Linked DNA regions of Ovis aries. The protein of the gene in region 3 purifies or fractionates together with the protein of the main gene of each other region. This does not show direct contact. Links are inferred from orthologs where the notes say so. Each region holds a gene or a part of one and is shown on either strand. Other genes may lie near its edges.

Region 1 (4,824 bases), on a different chromosome or scaffold from region 3:
CATCTCATTTAATTCCTATAGCTGCCCCATGCAATTTGTACTACTATCATCCCTGTTTTACAGGTGAGAAAACAAGAGTTCTGGTTAAATTAATCGCCAAGCTGGTAACTGACAGAGCCAGGATTTAAACAAATTCGTCTCAACTAGAAATCAGACCTTAAATATTTTGCTACACAGCCAAATGATACAGTTCTCAAACTATTCCTATCATTACTTACAAGCTTAAAGAGAAAGTGTTTTCCAATCCGACAGTCAAATTTACACTATGTATGCAACCTTCACCTCTACTGGCCCTGTAACCCTATCTTTTTGCATACTAGTTTCCACAGCTAGTCTCTAAGCTCCTTGAAAGTAAGCACCATAAGAAGCACAGTACTTGGTACAGGTGATCATTTTCAGTTAGTATTTGTTAAAGGAATTACTCAGAAGACTTGTTGTGGAAGTCTGAAGCTTAACATAATATGGATGAATACCAAAATCAATTCCCTACGATCTTTGGGTTGGGGAGGTGCTTCTTATCAAATCCTAGAATTTCATCATGGATTTTATTTTTTTATAAGGATCACTAAGCTAGGATTAGACAGTAAAATACCATGTTAAAAATATGATTTAAAGGAACTTTAAGAAAATAAGTAGAAATGAGACAGGCCCCCAGCTTTAAAATCTTACTTTTTCTAAACAGTTTAAATCTGTTAATGTAAGAGGAAGAAAGGCAATATAGCTCAAGAAAGAAATTATGACAAAATCCTCTGATTAGCATAAATCAGGGATCTTCTTGGGGAGGAAAAAAAATGTTCAAAAACAAAAAAAACTGTAGTCAGTGATTCTCAACTAAGGTAATACATTGCTCACAGTGAAGGGGATGTGAGGTTTGGAAATGACTGCTGGCTGCCACCAGTTAGTGGAGAGACAGGGATACTCACTGTGCTGCAACACGTGAGACAATCCTATGAGACCTCAGTGGAAATAATCCAGGGGACTAACATTCCCAAATACCTGATGCTGTTTCTTCAGTTTGTCTTTCCTTCTCTTCCTCCTCCTCTTCTTCTCTTTTCTCATCTTCAGCATTGAGAAGTGCTGACACAATATCATTAACTGTTTTGTAATTCTCTCCAGTTGTTAGGATTTTACTCTGAACTGTCCGTTTTACCAGGCTTCTACTAAAGCCCATTTCCAAGGCAGCTTTAACCACAGGTGTATTCATCATGACTGCATCGTCTGAAGAACTTTCTCCAGGTCCAAACTGAACAACTATTTTAAAAGATATATATTTGGGTAAATTCCATAAATATAAAAATATAGGGAACAATAATGACTCTGATATAATCTTTACTTTAGGGGTGATTATATCCTGGTAATGGAGATGAGCTGTATGCACGTTACCTATAACTCCAACCAAAGTCTGAACCTGATAAGGATCAAATGAGAGTGCAGTTACAGGCTGCTCTTATTGTTGTTCAGTTGCTAAGTTGTGTCTGACTCTTCTGTGACCCCATGGACGATAGCCCACCAAGCTCCTCTGCCCATAGGAATTCCCAGGCAAAAATACTGGAGAGGGCTGCCATTTCCTTCTCCAGGGGATATTCCCAACCCAGGGATCGAACCCATGACTCCTGCATTGGCAGGCAGGTTCTTTACCACTGAGCCACCAAGGAAGCCCAGTAACAGGCTGTACTCTAAAAAAATACCAATTCCCACACCTTAGACCTACTTAGTTAAGAGTCTTTAGGGATGGAACATAAGAATATCCTAAAAATTCCTCAAATGACTCCGTTGTACAGAGTTTATTTTTGGAAACTGAGATGCTACACAAATTTAGAAGTGAGAATAATCTCAATTCAGCTAGGAAAGTGGGAGAAATAAACAAAGACTTAATGAAAAAGATCACACAAGAGTCTGAACCTGAAGGATAGACAGGACCTGAAGAGGTGGATATATGAAGCAGAAAAAACAAAGATGGGAAGAACAGTCAAGTGGGAAGAACAGTAAAGTGGAAGACTAATTCATACAGAATACATCTAAAAACGTGATTTTAAAAAATGTGATTAAAGAATTAAAATAATGACTTCAGATAGCAACACATATTCTGAAGAAAATAAAGCAGAATAAGGTGTTAAGACAAACTAGGAAGCAGCAGGAGGACATTCAGGGTGATCAGAGAGGCATTTTCTGATAACAGGGTCTATGCCAGCCAATGTGGCACTTTTGTGAAAATTACAAAAAGACATCATTCTTCAAGATACTTTACTGCCATCTGCTGGAAAACTGTTGTATAATAAACGTAAATATACACTGTGTGTGTGCTCCCTTGCTCAAATGTATGTGGAACCCTGTCTGAATGGGTAACAGCAGAGCAAACAACTCTATGATAAGGAATGAGTGTGAGAATATCTGAAGTCTTTCAGGCAAAGAGAACAGCGAGTATAAAAGCCTCAAGTCAAGAGGAAAGCTTGATATTATTCAAGAAATAGTAAGGCAGTGCAGAGTCAGAGAGCAGGTCAGAGAGTAGGGTGAGGCCTAGATCATGTAAAGCCTTGTGAGGAGTTTATATTTTAAGTCTGCTAGAATATTCTAGGACTGATAAAACCTGATTTGTTTTTTCCAAAAAATGATTCTGGCAGCTCTGTGATAAACTTTAGTGAGGTAAAATGGAATCAGGGAGACCTGTTAGGATTTTATGACAAAAGGTGATAGAAGCTTGAATCAGGTTAACAGTGGTGACGATGAAGAGAAGTGGTAAGATTTGGGACATATTATAAAGATAGAGATGAAAGGACTTTTAATAGCTTAAATATACAAAGTAAAAGGAGGAATCAGGGATGATGTCTAACTTAAGTCAACCTCAGCAAGTGGAGACCATTAACTGAGCAGGGAAGACCAGAGAAGAAGCACATCTGAGGTACGAAGGGCAGGGAGAAAATGTTTGCTCTGGTCCTATAACTCTTGAGAAATCCATTATAAACAAGCAGAGATTTAAACAGGTGGTTGAACATGCTAGTCTGTAGCTCAGGAAATGGAGAACTACCTTTGGGCTGAATGTTGAGGGGCACTCCATCACTTAAGAGGTTTGAAAAAGGAGTACCCACCAAAGGAAATTGTTCATGATCAACCAGGGTAATGGGAAAATCAACAATGTGGTGTCCAGGAAGCCAAGTGAGGACGATACCTTAAGAAGGATACAAGAGAGTAATGATAGCAAGATTGCTAATTAAGATGTCTCCCATCTGGATCCCTACTCAACAACAATTTGGAATCCATCCAAGGACCAAAGTGCCTTTGTGAGAGGCTCTGTGATTGAGATATAAGATTCTGAAAGCCTTGTGTATTCCAAAACCAAGGAGAGCGATTTTGAGAAGACTGGCTTGTACCCAGGTGCTTGAATTCCTGACTATGGTCCCAGCAACAGACCCCAAAACAGCTCTGTATCCATCAAAATTGACAGAAGAAGGGCCTCACCTGGCAAGACCAATCAGTAAAAACTGGAAATGGTGTTTGCTCCCTCAAATGTACAGATACTATGGCCAGGCTACATATAGCATATAAATATATAAATCAGGCACATACAACACCATCAAAAGAAACTAATAAACATCCAGACTGACCTCAAAGAAATGAAGATTTATGATGTCTCACAATGAACTCAACAGTCACCTTAAAGAAACTCAATAAAATTCAAGAGAACGGTAAACAACTAAATGAAATGAAAATAACAATGCATGAACAAAATCTGAAGTTTAAACAAGAAATAGAAACCAAAATCAGAAGTTTAATCAAAAGAAAGAAAAAAGAATCAAACAGAAAACCTGGAGCTGAAGAATAAAAGCACAGAACTAAAAATCAATAGAGAAATTCAACAGACTTGATCATGCAGAAAAAAAGAATGAGAACCCAAACGGAGATCATTTGAAATTAGCCAGTTATAGGAACAAAAAGAGAATAAAAAAGAGTGACGGAAGACCACATGAATTACAGGGCACCACCAAGCAGATGAACATCACAGGAATCCCAGAAGACAGAAAAAAGGGGTAGAAAGTTTACTTCAAGAAATAACAGCTTAAAACTTCAGTTCCCAAATCTTGGGAGAGATACGGATATCCAGAAATAGCAAGTACAGAGAACCCCAAGCAAGATCAGGCCAGAGATTATTCCAAGACACATTATAGTCAAAATATTAAAAATAAAAAGACAAAGCATTTTGAAAGCAGCAAGGAAAAAATGAATTATTACATACAAGGGAACCCCCTAAGGCTATCAGCACATTTCTCTGCAGAAACCTTCCAGGCTAGGAGAGAAAGACTTAATATATCCAAGTGCTAAAAGAAAAACAAATGCCAACCAAGAACACTGGAAAATTAAAAATGAAGGTAGTCTTGTTCAGGCTTCAGAAGTAGGGGAGCATACCTCTAACCGACTTCTAACCTTGCCTGGACTACATGCCTGCCTGCATGCATGAACATCAATCATTACCAGCAAGTCAAGCAGCACTTCAGGTAAGAAAGGGAGTGGGTCTTGGATTTTTTTTTAATGAGTACTTTATGTTTGATTATTTATTTATTCATTTATTTGTTTTTGGTTGCACTGGGTCTGTTTGCTGCACAGGCTTTCTCTAGTTGCAATGTGCAGGTTTCGCACGGGCTCAGTAGCTATAGCATATGGGCTTAACTGCTCTGCAGCATGTGGAATCTTCCCAGACCAGGGATTGAACTGGTGTCCCTGCATTAGCTGGTTGATTCTTAACTACTGGACCACTAGGGAAATCCAGCCTTAGAATTTCTTAAGCCGCGGGAACCTACTCAGGCCCCCAGAGTCTAAAGAACTTTATGA
Region 2 (4,824 bases), on a different chromosome or scaffold from region 3:
ACCCGGGGACCTCCTGATTTCCCCAGGGCTGTTTTAGTGCTGAGATATTTAGCATTTACTGGGAAATCCATGCAGTTCCTCAAGGTAGAGGAAAGGGCCCCAAACTAGGGGGCTAAATTCCTGGCTCAATAACCTCAAGACTTGGGACAAGTTATTGAATCTCTCTTGCCCTTGGGGTCATTGGCTGATGGGTGGGGATGACGTCAGCAGAGTGCTTTACTGTTTACAAAGTGCCACATGACTTTGGCTAATCCTTGATGTTCATACCAAGAGAGATCTGGTGATTTGCTCAGAAGTCCACTAATGAATGGTCTCTCCTAAGCTTAATTTCAAGTTTTTCTCACTAGAATTTTGGCTAATAGCAATTCCTCTGCTTCCCTGGGAAGAGTGAATGGGCTGATGAGTAAGAAGGTGGTAAAGTGTTGAAGGCTACAGAAACATAAGTGATACCAGGAAAGGCAATTCTTGGGCCTGCTCAATGGGAGGAGAACATAGAGATGACTAGATTGTGAACATTTGCTGCTTAACGCCTAATCACAAAGGAGAAACAGTTCTGAAATACCAAGCTAAACGAAGACTTTGCTTCTTCCAGTCCTGCTCAACTTTCCCCCCAAAAGCCCCCTCCCATTTAGGCTGAGGCAGCTGCTAAAGGGATCAGGTTAGAGGCTCCCTACTCCTCTGTCCTCCAACTCTTCCAACATCTTTGGTTTTAAACTAGACATTTAACACACGGGAAACCAAAGAAGATCACCTTTACCAAATTCCAAAGTCACATTTTAAACTTGTGCTTTTGTGGAATTTTTCTATAGTTCTCAACACTTCATTAAGTTTCTGTCCCTTATTAGTTTATTTGAAAAAAAAAAAAAAAAGCTCAGGAACACAGTAACTAGAATCTGCAGCACAAAAGGGAAAGAAATGGGGATTTCCTGGTACCTGCAACTCACTGCCCTGTTCTCCTGGAGAGTCTGACATGGCCAGCATCTCAGAGGAGCCCTCCTCTGGAAGCGATTGTGACATATCTGGAATGAAATGTGACAGGGAAGATATTGGTTAAGAAAGAGGTGGCACCCAGGACAACATAAGGTCCCTTTTAAAATGTAAATTCACTGACTGCCTTGAACATAATATACTGCAGTCCACAGAATAAGGGAAAATCTTACTGCTGACTCATTCTGCCTGTATTTCAAACTTGCCAGCCTGAGGTTACAGGGTCTCTGCCTTTTGACAATTCCTTTTACATCTTCCCATGTGCAGAGAAGGTGACTAGTAGTCACCGCTATTAGGAGAGCAGGTCCATTAAGATGCAGATGTGGTAAAGGTTGTAGAGAGGAGACAATGAGGCTTGTAGTTTAGTCATTGTCTGACTCTTTGAGACCCTGTGGACTGTAGCCTGCCAGGCTCCTCGGTCCATGGGGTTTTCCAGGTAAGAATACTCGAGTGGGTTGCCATTTCCTTCTCCGTGGGTTCTTCCCGACCCAGACATTGAACCCACAACTCTTGCATCTCCTCCATTGGCAGGTGGCTTATTTACCACTAGAGCCACCTGGGAAGTAAATTAACTAAATAGACCTTGAAAACATATCTGCAAGTATTACCATTTGAAAATTCATCTGGATCTCTTTCAAGTCTCATTATTCTCTCTGAATCTTAAAAGAAACATACACATATTTGATTAGAAACAGTTGTGACATAGAAGCACCTGTCAATTTAAGACTACATTTTGCTGATTCACAGCTCTCAGGTTATTTATACCTTTTCTTAATTCTTCATAATCATAGATTTTCTTCAGCAAGCTCTTGTTGACCTGCTCACAGATTCTTTTCAGGGTGTCCAAGTTATTTTCCCCTAGGATGGTCCTCTTCTCCATCTCCACGAAAATATCAAGCAAAGTCTAGAGGGAGGAGAAATCAAGTTAGAAAACAGGATGGAGTTTTACTGACTTTTAGATTATTTTTTTTTTAATTTCCACTTCCTCCAAATTAGACACCCACCTAGCTTCCCAAGCTGATCCTCTTAAGTGGACATCCTGGTCTTATAAAGTCAATCAATAAACTATCAGGGAGGGAATTCATGTTTTCTGGCCCAAAAAGACAGAAATAAGACAGAGAAGAAGTCACCTCAGATGTCACCCAGTCCCCAGGCCCAACCATCTATGGACACTTTTATGTGAAGACAGTGAAGCAGCCCAGGCACATGGCAACAGCCCTGGGAACGGCCTCACACCCTACATTGCCTCTGGCACCCACGCACCTCCAGGCTGTTGAGGGTCCTCAACAACAGCTCAGTGACCAGTGCACTGCAACACGCACACACAGACAAACACACACACATACAGCATTACACCACAGCACAGACACACATACGTACAGACACACCATACCATATACACACACACACACACACACAAACACACACACATACAGCATTACACCACAGCACAGACACACATACGTACAGACACACCATACCATACACACATACACACACAAACACACACACATACAGCATTACACCACAGCACAGACACACATACGTACAGACACACCATACCATACACACACACACACACACACACACAAACACACACACATACAGCATTACACCACAGCACAGACACACATACGTACAGACACACCATACCATACACACACACAGACACACACACACACATACAGCATTACATCGCAGCACAGACACACATACATATAGACATGCCATACCACACACACACAGACCCACACATACAGCGTTACATCACAGTACAGACACACATACGTACAGACACCATAACACACACACACACACACACACACACACACACACACACACACAGAGTTCCAGGTCCCAGGTTTTTCAGAGACTGCAGAAGTGGGGAAATGGTCTCAGGCCCACCAGTGGCTCTCCTGGCTCTGCAGGCCCCCACACTGACCTGGGCTCCCACAACCAGCCTTTGTTCCTCACTCTGTCTTGTCCCTGATAATTAATGTGAGCAGCACCTTATATTATACAAAGGCATCATATCTACAGCATTCATTCCAGACAGCATTCTTCTCCCTTGGTTAAAAAGTGAGAATTCCGGTTGCTTTTACTGACAAGAGCTCTCTTTAGTCTCAGAAATCCCCACCAGCTGACTCACCGTCAGGGCTACACCTCGGGTGAGACACCAGGTCTTACCATGTCATCATCCAGCTTACATTTGGCAATCTCCTGGCTCAAAAAAAACTTAAAGTCCTTCAATTCCACTTTGTTCACATCTTCTGAAATCTGGAAAAGCAGGATCCTATAGGGGGAAACAGAAACACTCTAACTTTCTTCAATTATTTCCCATCTGATATATGGAGTCACGTGGACTTGGTCCTCTGGCCTCCCTTTAAAATAAAACCAGCTAATGACACGATTTATGAGCTGAGTCCTTGGAAAGAGGCTCGTGTTGTGACACTGAAGACTCATGGCTCAAGCTCAACTGTCCCACTCTTAATGGAATTTAAATTCCCCAGGGACTTCCTTGGTGGTTTAGTGGTTAAGAATCCACCTGCTCATGCAGGGGACACAGGTTCAATCTCTGGTCCAGGAAGATCCCACATGCTGCAGGGTAACTAAGTCTGTGTGCCACGATTACTTAGCCCATGCTCTAGGGCCCAAGAGTTGCAACTACTGAAGCCCACAAGCCCCAGGTTCAGTGTACCATAACGAAGAGTAGCCTGTGCTCTCTGCAACTAGAGAAAGCCTGTGTGCAGCAATGAAGACCCAGCACAGCCAAAATAACTAAATAAATATTTTTAATTTTTAATTAAAAATTTTAAAAGTTCCCCAATTTTAACTTTCAGTTAATATCAGTTGAGTGAATTGTGTTTTTCCCTTGTCCTTCGCTATAGGATTAAGATCTTGTTGCACAGAAAGAAAGAAAAGCTTTGATTTTGGATATTATTCTTTTCAAAACACACATCAGTTTTAATTATTCAATTAAAACTAGTCAGTGTTCTCCCAGCCACTCCCTTCAATAGGAAGGCCAAACACCTCCTCTTGGAACACAGGCTTTTGTGAACTGAGCCTAGTCTGCCTCTTCATCTCTGGCCATGCCTTACCACCATCTCCCCATTCCTCTCCGAACATACCCAGTTGCCCAGCCCCTCACCCTTTGAATTTGGGCCCCTCATACCCTCATTACCTTGTCCATCTGTAGACTGGCTTAAGGTGGTCCTAACCCGATGGTTGGTGTCTTTAAAAGAAGAGGGAACTTTCTCCCTTAGAGCCTCCAAAAGGGAACCCGTCATGTTAACACCTCAAGTTCAGGCCCATAGGCTCCAGAACAATTAGAAAAATGATTTCTCTACTGTGTTAAGCCTTTGGCAGGACAGACAGCCCAAGCCAGTGCCGTTCTTCTGACAGTATCTGGAGTCATGGGGATTAAGCAGTCATTGGGTATTGCAGACTGGCTTATGAAGTGAAATTGTGGAAGCTGTTTAACCTTTAGGATGATTGGTTATTACAGCGGGTGTTTCCACTGTATGGCCAGGGATAGATTAGAAATGATTATCTTAAGACTTCTCTGGTGGAACAGTGGGTAAGAATCCACCTGCCAATGCAGGGAGCACGAGTTCTATACCTGGCTGGGGAAGATTCCACTTGCTGTGGAGCAACTAAGCATGTGCAGTGAAACAACCAAGCCAGAGTCTTGCAACAACTGAAGCCCACATGCCTAGAGCTGGCATTCCACAAAAGAGAAGCTACCACAATGAGAAGTCCGTGCACTGCAAGACAGAGTGACCCCTACTCGCCACAACTAGAGAAAGCCCAGGCGCAGAACTGAAGACACACCCAGCA
Region 3 (5,380 bases):
ACCTGTAGTTTGCACCTGCCTAGATTCTCTACCACAGTCCTGACTGACCTCTGGGGACTTCCCTCTACCCTTTTCTCAATCCACAGGCCTGTTGGAAGGACCAACCTTGCTCCTGACGTCCAGCCTAGCCAATCTGGATCTTCCATTCACCTTCCTGAAATGGTTTGTTCTGGGTTGGGCATAGGATTCCTATTGGACCTATCAGAATCAACCTGCAATTTGGGCTTCCCTGGTGGCTCAGTCAGTAAAGTGTCTGCCTTCAATGCAGGAGACCTGGGTTCAATCCCTGAGTTGGGAAGATCCCCTGGAGAAGGAAATGGCAACCCACTCCAGTATTCATGCCTGGAGAATCCCATGGAAGGAGCCTGGTGGCTAGTCTGTGGACTGTCACACACGACTTAGCAACTAACCCAATAGGAAAGAGGAACAAGTTTCCCTTTCCTATCTTTAAGCTGAGCTAGAAGGAAGGGAAGGTCTCCTTTGCTGTTCTCAGCCTGACTGAAAATGAAACTGGCATAGAAAGCTACAGAGCCAAGAGATGAAGAAGTGTACCCCTAACCACACCATGTCCGTGGCTCTAGGTGCATCTTGGACTTTTCTGTTATGTGAATTAAATCATTCCTTTTTAGTCTCAAGTCTTTTAGTCTCTTGTCTGATGCCGTTCAAGTTGTTCTGATACAGGCTCCTTCTCTGTCTAAACACAGTCAGGGCCCTTGGCATTAGCATCTCCTCAATCTATCTTCAACAAAATCCTAGCTCTAGATCAAGGAGCAAAACTCTCAGTCAGGGAGCCATGGCACTGGCCTGAAAGTTGCCTCCCAGCTACAGCACTATGAGCGACAGGTGGAGAACTGCCCTGCCTCTTCCTTCAGACCTTACCCGAGGCAACATTATACCCTCTTCCTAGAAAAATGGGTTCAAGGGAATTCCCTGGTGGTCCGGTGGTTAGGACTCGGTGCTTTCACTGCCAAGGGCCTGGGTTCAATCCCTGGTCAGGGAACTAAGATCCCTCAAGCTGTGAGGTACAGCTGGCAAATTTAAAAAAATAGTAATAAAGGAAAAGAGAAATGGCGCCCTCCACTTTCACCCAGACCTGGCAGGAAGAATGATACCTGATAACCCTACCCTGAGTTTGAGCACAGGGAACATATCTTTTGACCAGCTCCCCCCATAATCTTTTGGTAGAAAACTTACTAATACTTGTGTGTTTATCCAAAACAATAGAAATTAACAAAAAAATTAGCATTGTTTATTTGTCTTGGGGAAGGGGGAGATTGGGGTTGTTTTTATTTTCATTTAAATATTCTACTTTATGCAAAATAGAGACATTTCTTTTGTATTAAAAAGGCATATTTGTTTTTCTTAAAAAGCAAAACAAAACAAAAACAGGGTAGATGACAAGTGGGACCAAGAGCAGTAGAGAGACAAGTGGGAAGTCCTGGGGTATTGGCCCAGAGTGGAGAAGTGGGAACCTGGCCCCAAAACATTTTCTCTTTCGCATCTGTTTAGCCCCTTGACTGGAGGGTGCTGACCCCATAGGGTGGGTAAGTAAGGGCAGGACAAGACAGTCCTCTGCCCAACTGGCCAGCCTGCAGGACACTGCAAACCAAGAGGAGGGGGAATCTCTGTCATACTCTCTAGGACTGTAGAAGTCAAACAGCCTGATAACTGTTGAGAAGTGGCAGGGGTGGGGCGGGGTGAGAGGCGGGCCTTGGCTCGCTAAGCCCCCTTGAGAACTGTGTCCCTTCACAGAAGCCCCTCCTCGGGAAGCCCCGCGCCCCACCCACCTGGAGTCCGCCTCTCTACCAGCGGGGCTCGCTGGGGTCCTGGGAACCCTTAGTTGGGCTGAGATCGTAAGGGACACATGGGTACCGACTCAGGAAAATATGCCCCTGCCATCGGTAGCCAGCCGGCGCAGCGCTCCATTAACACTGATAGAAGATGAGATGGTTGGATGGCATCACTGACTCAGTGGACATGAGTTTGAGGAAACTCTGAGAGATGGTGAAGGACAGGGAAGCCTGGCGTGCTACAATCCACGGGGTCGCAAAGAGTTGGACACGACTTAGCGACTGAACAGTAACTGTCCTGAGTAGCTCCGCTTCTGGCCGGCTAGGCGGTGACGACCTGCAGGCGTGGCCTCTCAAGGATTGAAAAGCTGCTAGTCCCAGCATCTACTCAAGCAGAGCCTCTCAGAGCTCTAGAGGGGAGCTCTCCGGCCTCCCACTAGCCCACCCTCCTGCTGGAGTTTCGCGCTTGCTACTGGCTCTAACCGGCAAGGGGTTTCTCTCGAATGTCTGTTCAGAACCAGCACCACCCCGTCCTCTCACCCACAGGGCCCTGCCGCCCCTTGAAAGCCCCTATGGGACAAGGCACTCGCAGGGGTCAGCGTCGGTACCCTCGCTCCAGCCTCCAACGGAAACAGCCCAATAGGCCACCACCACCACCACCTGACCCGAGCAGCCGCGGGTGACAACCGCACCGCGCCCGTGCTCCTGAGCCAGGATCCGCCTCGGCTCCTGCCCGCAACGGAAAGCCCACCCACCCTCTGCACTAACCTGGCCGCCTGGGCCCGGCCTGGATTCCCACGCCCGCCGGCTTCCACTGGACTCGCGCTGCTTCCGGGTGTGCGCGGAGCGCAGGGGCGGCACCCCAGTCCGAGCCGCCCCGTCCGTCCCGGCGTCCCGCCCCCCGGGTTCCCCGCGGTTCCTTCCCGCCACCGTCCTCTGCGGCCAGTACCCAGCCTCTGGGCAAAGCCCACCCGATCCGCTGCGCAGGTAAGACACTGGCGCCTGAGGTCAAACAGCAGGCAGAACTGCCCGCGGCAAGGGACTTCGAGGACTCGCGGTTCTTACGAGGCCGGAGGGCCCTAGGGTGAGAGCCGATCCTCTTCCTCCAGCGGGTAACGGATGGAGCAACGAGGGGGCGTCCCCTTCTGGGTTGGTCGAGCTCCTCTGATTCTACCTGACACTCTGAACTGGGTGCTAAGTTCAAGCGTGGCGGAGGGTATCAGAAACTCCCGGTACTCGAGACACAAATTCCAGCAGGGACAGTTAGCCTAGAAAATAGAAAATTGGCCAGTGGCGTCAAACGTTCTGTACGAAAACCTTTAAGCACCTTAAACTAAAATTGGCAACTTCAAAAAGGACGCACAGTCTCCAACAAAGGCCGCGCTCTGATGTGGGTCTGCGGAATTCCAGTGGAGCCTAAACCGCCTGGGCTGCTCGGGGTTCAGGATCGGAATTTGAATCCAGAGTCCCTCAGGCCCTCACAACCCCAAGATTTTCTCTGCCTCGCTGGCCTCTCATTGGAAGAATCCATGTTGTCTCCCCCAGTGAAGTGGAGGAAGGAGCCTCCCTTCTCCTTGCGTATTCAGCTATGCCCCACCCGCACCTCTGCTTCCTGATTGGCTCCTGCACCCTGCCAATTAAAAGTTTTCCTTAATGTTCCCGCCCTATTAACCCTGCCGTCACTCTCTAGTGACGGGTGGGACTAGGACCGGGTTTCTCAACTTGGGACCTGTGGCATACACCTGCACGTGTTGAAATTCATATTCCTGGGCCCTACTGTTTGAGGAGAGCTTGATTTAGTAGGTGGGGCCATGAAATCTGTAGTGTGAACAAATGTCCAGCGCCCTTTTAGAAGCCATTTCAATGGCCCTTGGTGCTTGGGCTCCATCGTTCCCTAAGTACTCAGGGTCTAAGTTGGGAGGCAAGCAGTTCAGCGATCTCTGTAAGACTAGTCCGGGCTCTCTGGCCGCCGTGATGGTGCTTTAGAGGGAGACTGGGACGAGGGGTTGGGGAAGACGTGGTGGTCTGGAGTCAGGGCCTGGGCAATGGCCCTCCAACTTCCTCAGAGAAGACTGGTTACTAGGAGAAAGATCTGACAGCATCGTCCCAAATCCGGGTATTTGGTTTTATCAACCTGGTGCGTGGATCGTGGTTGAGTTCCTCCTAATAGAATATTATAAAACGTGGATTTGTTCAACAAGTGAGAACATAGTTTAAAGGAAGAATCAGAAATGCTCAGCATCCCAGGCAGATTTAATGGGTCTGAGATCTGTGTACACAGTCCCAGGCTTGGTTTAATAGCTTGGTTACATCTCTGCTGTCACGGTCTTGAAATCCTCGATAATATTTTAAACAGAGAGACCCACATTTTCATTTTGCACTGGGCTCTGCAAATTTATGTAGCGGATCCTGGGCCCCAAGCATTTCTACACATAGGCTCCAGGTGTTCCCCTCAATACTGTGGCCTTCCTGCAGGGGGGCCCCCACCTGGCCATGGCCGAGCCCGGAGAACAGCTGCCGGAGGAGGTGCTGGTGCTCATCTTCCGCCACCTGCCCCTGCCTGACCGCGCTGCTGCAGCGAGGGTCTGCAGAGCTTGGGCTGCCGCTGCCACCTGCAGCGCTGTGTGGCACGACACGAGCATCAGGTGAGCAGGTTCTTCCCCCTCCCACCTTCTCCCAGTCTTGGTAGAGTCAGAGGTTGGGGAGATGCAGTGACTCTTCCTCATATTAAAAAGCGTCATTTCTAACATTGGCCACCTACTGTGTACCAACCATTGTTCTAAGGGCCTTACATATACCAATCTTTCTAATCCTCACAAACACTTTATGTGATGTACGGGTATTATTATTATCTCCATCGCACAGATAAAATTTGAGGCAGAGAGATTTAACTACTTCCTCACTCTATTGAGAAATGACAGGCAGAACGTGAATGCGGCTGCCCACAGGCCCCGCCCCGCCTCCTGAAAGACCAATGAGAAAGCCCATTTTCTAAAATATCCTGGCTCTCTCTGGCACGGTTTCAACTGGCGGCAGATGCGTCTGAAGGAAGGGATAGGGTTCCCTCCTAGCATACCTAGGAGTGACCAGGCACGGTCGGAACAGGGAGGTGTGTGGGTAGGGGGCAGTAAGTGGGGATGGTAACCGGAACCCAGAGAGAGGGACTTGGCCGGCCATGCCTTTTCTCCACCACTCTACCCCCAAGTTGCGATTGTGAGCTGGAAGGCATGCTGCCGCCGTATCTGTCCGCCTGCCTTGACCACGTTCAGAATCTATGGCTGGAATTTGAGCCGTCGAGAAAGTCGAGTCGCCGGGCGGCCACAGACTTACTGGCTGCACTGGCGGGCCGTACCCCCGGGCTGCGAGGCCTGTGCCTGGAATGCCGCGGAGAAAAGCCGCTCTTCGACGCCGGCCGCGACGTCCTGGACGCGGTGCACGCCCTCTGTGGGGCGGCCGGTGCGCTGCGCCACCTCGACCTGCGGCGCCTGCCCTTCTCACTGGACGACGCGCTGGTGCTGCAGGTGGCACACGGTTGTCCGGAGCTCCGCAGCCTTTTTCTGGATAACAGAACGCTGGTGGGCAGCGTAGGG

What was found.
Region 1: the proteins of TRADD (region 3) and BIRC2 purify together in Homo sapiens (affinity purification with western blotting; 3 studies listed by BioGRID and IntAct, with this or other methods). This does not show direct contact. The link is inferred for Ovis aries from reciprocal best matches to the Homo sapiens genes TRADD and BIRC2.
Region 2: the proteins of TRADD (region 3) and CASP8 purify together in Homo sapiens (affinity purification with western blotting; 6 studies listed by BioGRID and IntAct, with this or other methods). This does not show direct contact. The link is inferred for Ovis aries from reciprocal best matches to the Homo sapiens genes TRADD and CASP8.

The regions. Positions count from the first base shown.
Region 1 is NC_056068.1:6,028,738-6,033,561, forward strand, and holds part of BIRC2 (baculoviral IAP repeat-containing protein 2), read right to left. Parts: intron 1,252-4,824; coding exon 997-1,251; intron 1-996. UniProt on the Homo sapiens protein: Multi-functional protein which regulates not only caspases and apoptosis, but also modulates inflammatory signaling and immunity, mitogenic kinase signaling, and cell proliferation, as well as cell invasion and metastasis.
Region 2 is NC_056055.1:203,630,192-203,635,015, reverse strand, and holds part of CASP8 (caspase-8), read right to left. Parts: intron 3,281-4,824; coding exon 3,175-3,280; intron 1,892-3,174; coding exon 1,753-1,891; intron 1,647-1,752; coding exon 1,596-1,646; intron 1,020-1,595; coding exon 934-1,019; intron 1-933. UniProt on the Homo sapiens protein: Thiol protease that plays a key role in programmed cell death by acting as a molecular switch for apoptosis, necroptosis and pyroptosis, and is required to prevent tissue damage during embryonic development and adulthood.
Region 3 is NC_056067.1:34,365,389-34,370,768, forward strand, and holds the start of TRADD (tumor necrosis factor receptor type 1-associated DEATH domain protein), read right to left. Parts: upstream 3,381-5,380; 5' UTR 3,154-3,380; intron 3,059-3,153; 5' UTR 2,559-3,058; intron 1-2,558. Other genes in the region: FBXL8 (F-box/LRR-repeat protein 8), read left to right, coding at 4,284-4,435, 4,996-5,380. UniProt on the Homo sapiens protein: Adapter molecule for TNFRSF1A/TNFR1 that specifically associates with the cytoplasmic domain of activated TNFRSF1A/TNFR1 mediating its interaction with FADD.